Linked DNA regions of Caenorhabditis elegans. The protein of the gene in region 1 interacts with the protein of each later gene in a pairwise test. Each region holds a gene or a part of one and is shown in the gene's direction. Other genes may lie near its edges.

Evidence for each region. The genes of interacting proteins can lie anywhere in the genome.
Region 2: the proteins of ZK945.6 (region 1) and M03E7.1 interact in a two-hybrid assay, tested with the Caenorhabditis elegans proteins (one large-scale study listed by BioGRID).

Annotation. Positions count from the first base shown.
Region 1 is NC_003280.10:10,105,491-10,108,997, reverse strand, and holds ZK945.6 (Ovule protein), read left to right. Parts: upstream 1-2,027; 5' UTR 2,028-2,095; coding exon 2,096-2,126; intron 2,127-2,172; coding exon 2,173-2,280; intron 2,281-2,332; coding exon 2,333-2,500; intron 2,501-2,543; coding exon 2,544-2,887; 3' UTR 2,888-2,918; downstream 2,919-3,507. Other genes in the region: ZK945.8 (PPP1R11/YPI1 family protein), read right to left, coding at 1-131, 179-296; ZK945.7 (uncharacterized protein), read left to right, coding at 594-732, 776-943, 991-1,368, 1,412-1,476; putative RING finger protein ZK945.4, read left to right, coding at 3,302-3,392, 3,441-3,507.
Region 2 is NC_003283.11:5,619,944-5,623,697, forward strand, and holds the start of M03E7.1 (Major sperm protein), read left to right. Parts: upstream 1-1,746; 5' UTR 1,747-3,698; coding exon 3,699-3,754.

The DNA of each region.
Region 1 (3,507 bases):
TGGAAGAGTATGTCCACGACAGTGCTCCGTCTCATGCTCCTCCGGCTCCCAAGTTGACGGATCATCCCAGACACGAGGCGGAGTGTAGATGCAACAGCAATTGGATTTGAGACGTCCCATGTGTTCGTTATCTAAAGTTTAAGTATTTTTCAAGACTTTTTAATATAAATTCACTCACCAATTACTCCCGCTCCCCAAGTGACACGTGGACGCTCAACTGGAGCTCTCAGGCGGAGCACAAGCTGCTCTCCTTCTTCGTTGGTTTGACAAGTTTCCGTTACGACGGGGGCTTGCATCGTACGACTGTGTAGTTGATGTACGAAATGAATAAAACTTTGAATTTTTTCCCTGGAATCGTGGACTTACACTTTTATTTATTTGACAATTTATATATATTTAAAATGCCATGATTCCACTATAAAAAGTTCAAATTTCAAAAAAATTTATAAATTTCAAAAAAAAAATTGAACTTTTAACGTGAACTTTTGAATTCCCCTTACCTCCCCCTTGCCACACTAACAATTTATTGCTACATACTCGTCCGACAACCTCAACCGTCGGATTAAACAATCTGCTCAATTGATTGGTTAGCTATGGCTTCCTCGTTCGACAACCAAATGGATCAGGATGGAATGTGCTCCGTGTACTCTGCTCAGCCATCGGAGACAAATTGCTCCATCAATGAGGTGCTTGCCAAAGAAATTATCGCTGTCAATGAGACGCCAGATGATCGTAAGTTTTTATTGTCTTTTTTTTGGGAATATTGAGTTTACAGAAGCTGATTCTTCGATCTACCCAATCCCAAAATCAGAAACAAATGTGTCAGCTAGCGAAGGGTTCCAGCCATGTCAAGATATCAATCAATTCAATTTGTCCGTTTACTCTGCTCCAAAATCCGAGACCCCAGTGACCATGAATGAGAAGTTCGAGCGGTGCAAAGACTGTAAGTTAACTGCAACAACTCTATCTTGAAAAACCAAAAATTTTCAGTGATGAACGTTCTTGACTACTCTGTCTACTCAATGCCACCATCAGAAGCAAATGTTACAATGAATGTTGCAAGCTTCTCGGAGTACACTGCCCTTGCCTCGGAGACCAACGTCACAATGGCTGATGTTCTCAAGAACGTTGCTCAGGATTTGGCGTCAGAGCACACTGCAAAATCAGCTCATCCAACATTCGACACCACCGCCTACGTAGAGCGCCTTCAAGCCGAGCTCGGGATTCCGGATAGCAAAGTGATTGGATTGGAGTGCAGCAATTTTTCGAATGCGAAGATCATTGATTCAATTGAATGCCTTCATCAGTTGGACAAATTCCAACCAATCCCGGTGGATTTCGATCAGAATCCTGATTTTGGAAAAACTGGTAAGAGTGAAGTTTATTTAAGAAATAATATTTTCAATTTCAGCCAAATCTGTGGAAAGCTACCTCTTGCGTTCATCCAATGCCAGTTCAATCCATCACGAGATCTGAAGAATCGGAACAAATTATTGAACTTGGTCTATAAAAAATGTCGAATCATTTTTGTTGTTGTCTATGCATTCGTAATTTCTTGGTTTTTTGTATAGCAAATTTTTTGATGACTATTACGATAGTTCATGGAAACGAGACTTGTGCCTGGCCGCCTTTTGCACACATGAAAGCGAGGCGGACAAAATGAGCCCCGTCATGGCTCCCGGGTTGAACACCTAACAAGACGGGAATTCTTCTAAAAAGAGTTGTCTTATCCCTATAAATCTGAAATTTGCATCAATTCTTCACCCGCCCTTGTTGCGATCTACCAGCCTCGTGGTTCTAAGTTACTTCTACCATGCTATTTAATGTTAACTGTACATAAAATGTGGTGCTTCTTCTCAATTTCCATTATTTCCTACTTTTTGAGAGAACTGTTCGAAAGGAGTTGCCTCTGTGAGCATCTATAAATTCTTTGTACAAGTTTTCACCAATCACGTGGCAACCGTGTTCTTTAAATTTTTATAAAATTAAATGTTTTCACGTCTTTCCTACTAATGCCTCAATGTTCATTTTCTTATATTCAAAATTTCATTTCAAAAAAATTTTCAAATCGATCACATCTCGAGAGATCATAATCATGGAGTGTTCTCAGGAAGATGTCGTCAATGGTAATTTTACTGAGTTTGTCATGCCGTCTGAACCGTAGAATTTCAGATTTCATTGCTCTCGAAAAGATTGGTTCAGAAGTGGATATCAATTTGGATGGAGTCATCAAAAGCAAGGAGTGTAGTAACACGAACGAAGCAGATATTATTAGTAACTGTGAGTTGCCTTTAAACGATTTCAGATGATCTTGAATCACCAGATTTTTCAGTGATAACCGCAATCGAAGAATCTTTGAGTTGTACATCGGTCTGCACAGCTGTATCATTGGAGACAGTGGCACAAAAGTTGGATGCCTATGCAGATCCTTCTTTGAATACTCAGATGTCTTTCAGTACAGCATCGGATTTGAGTTCTATGGAACAAGATTATGTTAAAGGTGGGATTCCGTCTCAATTAAATTTTAAAAAATTTATTTTCAGCTTCAGATGATCCTTTCGACCTCAATCATCAACCGTCGCCGCTCCAAGTCTGGCGTGATCAAGGCAAAATCACCGGATTTCAAATGATGTGTGATGATCAGAAGGTTACTGTAGTTGATTCTCTGGAGTGCTTAGCTCAATCGGAGCAACATTTGGAACCAGTTTACTTCGATCCACGTGTCAACCTTGCTATTCCGTGCCCGCCAGATGATTTTGAGATTCTTGAAGACTATGGTTCAACATCCAATGCATCAGTCAATTCGGATGACGCTTCAACCGCAGAACTTGGTCCGACGTCTGAAGAGTTTGAAGAATGGGTTCGGAAAATTGAACAGAACTATTGAATAGCTATTTGATAAAATACATTTTTTCTCATTGAAGATAATAGTTTTGCATATCTGACTCTGCGTCTCCAAAGTCTAAAACGAGTTGAAAACAACAACTGCCTAGGCCCCCTGTCGCCTCGCGTGTGCACATTATACTCTTTCTACTTTTGTTCCTCGCGCTCTCTTTTTCTAGTTTTCGAACACTCTCTGCATATCAAGAATATTCAAAGTGTTTTCTTTCTCTGTTTGATCTCCGGAAATTGCTCCAAATTTACACAAATTTGTGGTCAATTGGTGTCATCGCGCTGTTTCTTGTTTCGTATTCGTTTTTCGTATTTTAAACGAACATTTTCGTTTTCAACAACGACAATAACGAAATTTCCCATTCATTTCATACACTCGAATATTTTTTCTTCGTTTCCAGAACTTGCCATGAATATGCTCCGCTGCTTTCCGGAGTGTGGGATTTGCGGGCAGGAGTATTCAGAAGACGAAAAGCTCCTAATCCCTAGAATTTTGACTGGTACACCGTGTGTTTTGATTCTTAATTAAAAATTATTTTATCTTCCAGAATGTGGTCACACGATTTGTACAGGATGTGCAGGAAAAATAAAAGGACAGTCTTCGATAATCGCATG
Region 2 (3,754 bases), on another chromosome or scaffold:
TATTTAAGAATCAAAAATCCAACTCACAAATTTCCCGTCGAGAAACATGTTTACAACCAGCTATCAACACCCGAAATCCCCACGAGACGTGACCCGATAAAAGTTGAGAGGAGGGTTTATAATGAGCATTTTATGGTCCGGGTGCGTAGCAATGATCTGGCTCAATGGACGAAAAAAGAGCACAAAAAAGAGAGCAAGAATGAGATTGAGAGAAGGACGGGAAGCTTTTCGGTGAGCTTTCCGTCATTTTTTCCGAGTTTCCAAGTGTGCCTCATTTTTGGTGAAAAAAGAAAAAAAGTGTTTTTTTAGTTTTGTCTCTGACGTATGAGATATTCCATTTTATTTTTATATAAATAAATAAGTTAAGATCTTCGCGCAGAAAAGTAGAAAAAAAAGTGTTCGCGTTCTTAGAATGTATTGAAATTGCAAGCAATTTTCAAAAGAATGACTTTGAAAGTGCCAGGTAGGAAGTGTAGGCGACATTTTTTGTCTGATGTTTCATAATTTTTTTCTGCTTTGTAAAATTATTGGCTTTGTCGTTTTTCCAAATGTGTATTGAACCTAGTTTCCATAGCTCAAAATTACGGTTTTTTTTTTTGAAAATTAAAATTAGTTATTAAAAAATAATTTTAAAGTGATCTCTGAAATTTTTAGTCAGGTTTTCTAGACTTGAAATATAATATGAAAGTTGGAGTTCTGAAAATTGTTAAATATTTACCAAAATTGAAAATAAAATTGACGTTTTAAAGAAATTTTTGGAATTTCTATTAACTTCTGTGAAAATGTGAAACGTCACTTCGAAGGCACTAGCTGTTCGTCTGATAATGAAAGGGTCTCGCCACGAATTTAGCTTCTAACTATAACTATCAAGTTTTGCAAAACTTCTCATTAAAAGTGACAATTGAAATGTTAGAATTTTTTTTGAACGTTTTGTTTTCGAAATATATGTATAAGTTTTTTTGAAAAATAAGAATAATCGACTTTTTTACTAAATTTTAAAAATCTTGTATCCCTATTGTGCAAAAAGGCTCCCCGCAATCTATTTGCACTTGAATTTGTTACAAGAAAAATTATATTGTACTTCTGTTAAAAATTGTCACTTCACTTCAAAGGCACGCGCTGTTTTTGTGTGGGTCTTGCCACAACCTCAGCTACAGTAGTCGCTACAAATTTCAAGCTGTAAATACAGAGAAAACCAGAATTTATCAGATTTTTAGCACCTAAAATCATAAGCAAACTAATTTACCGTATTTCCTCTATTAGTCTTGCAGCCTCTATTGGAATTGCATGCAAGACTAATAGAGAGCATACGGTATTAGTCTTGCACCCCTATTCTAGGCAGACCAGCAGTATTTTGTGAAAACTTCAACAATTTCGCCATTTTATAGCTAAATTAAATTTTAAAGTGTTAAAATAATTGATAAAACAATAGAAAAGTATGTATTTTGCATGATTTAGACTGTTTCGAGTCAAATTTTTTACGATAAATGGCCAATTTTATAAAGCTATTGGATCTTCGAAAATTAGTCTTGCAGCCTCTAATAGTCTTGCAGTCTCTATTAGTCTTGCACCTCTACGGGTCAATTGAAACTTAGTCTTGCATGCAAGACTAATAGAGGAAATACGGTACAGATAAAAAAATTCAATTTCATTTTTCGACGTTTCATTCCGTTCCAAAATTTCCGGATTATAAAAACGGGAACCAGTTATTTAAAAAAATCGAAAAACCAAGTTACTCGGATTCTCTTGAATCCGGAAAAACTGGACGACGGGGGCCCGGTTTATTCCGGTTTACCAGTATTAGCTAAGATAAGTATTTTTAACAGTACGCCTTTTAAGATTACATCAAAAAAGTTATTTTTCACCAGTGGCAAAATTTGCGGTCCTACCTTTCCGAATTTCATTCCCAAAAATCTCGCAGCGCTTACGTCACCCGCCGGCGAAATATTCGTGTCACCTGCTAGACAGTAGTTGCTCAAACTTCCACTATTATGTTCTCTATTTCCATTTTTTTTGTCTTCAACTCTTCGTTACTAAATACGACCTTGCCTTCTTCTTCGCCTTCATCTTGGTTTTTTATTCTTGACTCCTTCTTCTTCTTTGCTTTTCCTTCACTTCCTGCCCTGTCTTGTTTCGCTCTCCTTTCGAAGTAAATACCCTCGGGAGGAGAGGTTCTTCTCTCCTTCTTCAGATGTGTCTGTTTTCTGTTTTTGTGTGTATGTATTTGGTGGTGGCGCATCAATTGCCATCGCTTGCTCTCGATTATTCTAATCCCTTTCGCGGGGGGTGAAATCGTTTCTTTTTCATTTTGAGTGGTGGTGGTGGTGGTGGACGAGTCGCGGGGTGCTCTGAAGTTTCTCCGAAAGAGAGACCCACAAGTTTTATTTTGAAACAAGTTGAGAGTCTTCAGAGTTGAGATTCTGTCCCATATACTGAATGGGCGCAAGTCCCCAGCGAGAGAGGTAGAACAACACCACCGACAACATCAGAGAGAAAGGATTGATGAGGTCAGTTAACTTTTTTGCAAATTTAAGGTAATTTAAGTGGGGAAATTATTTAAAACTGCCCATACAGTGAAAAATTTTCCAAATATCACAGTAAACGTTCAAATTTTTTTAATGAATTTATTTTTAATCTACGGTCAAAAAGTGGTGAAGTCTACCCAGTTTTTACTGATGATAATGCTGAAAGTCTACCAAAAAATAATTGTTTCTAAAAATGTTTTAATTCGATCTAGTGGATCAAAGAAATACTCAAAACTATTCCAAAAGTCAAAATTTTTTGGAAAAATTGACAATTCACAAAAATTTTTGACTGAAGATTTGAAAAATCTAATCACTTTTGAACTCTTTTGTAAGATTTGCGGTTAACTTGGACTATAGTTAGTATATCATAAAAACCTTTATATTATAGAAAATGGCAAACATCTGTGTGAATTCAGTTAGGAAAAATATTTTGTTCTACTAACTTTGCCAGAAACAGAGCAAGATCTCCCAGAATTTTTTTTTCAAAAAGTTTCTGAAAGTAGTGCACTTTGATGTTGTGAAAAATAGTCTTCTTCTATTAGAAAAAATTGATTCTGTTGGAAATTGGAAGAAATAAAAATTTTTTAACAGTATTCTGAATCGCCAGTACAAAAATCTACAGTTCTCAAAACTATTTTGAAAATTTTAAATTAACAGTCAAAAAGTGGTACTCAATGTTTTCCAACCATATTGTTTTCTTGTAATAAAGCTTTTATTTTAGTTGGAACAAATGAAATAGTGTTCAAAATTGTCTGAAAGAAACTGAAAGAAATTGTTGAAAAAAAATCTGAAAAATTATAATTTTTCTATATTCTATCACTATATTAAAAACATTTTAGGGTAACATGCCACACTGGCTCATTTCGTAGAATTGCTGATCGGTAAAATTAGCAAAACTTTTATTTTAAAAACTTAAGATTTTTTAAGTGTTCTTGTATATAAAAATTCCCAATTTACAATGCTTCATTCTCTCTTATCACACTTCAAAAATAATATGGTTTGGAATTAGTGAAAACCCATTGCAATTTCATGATTTTTTGAATTTTTTAAACATTCTCCCCCTCAAAAAAAAATAAAGTGCAACAAAACTTGCAAGAATCTCAATGTGACCTACTAAAATATGGATACCCAAAAAAAGAGAGTAAAAGAATCGCCCTCTTTCTTACTTCATCCATGTCGTCCTCCACCACCGACGACGACTCGTGCTCTTATTTTTTTTTCAGACAAGC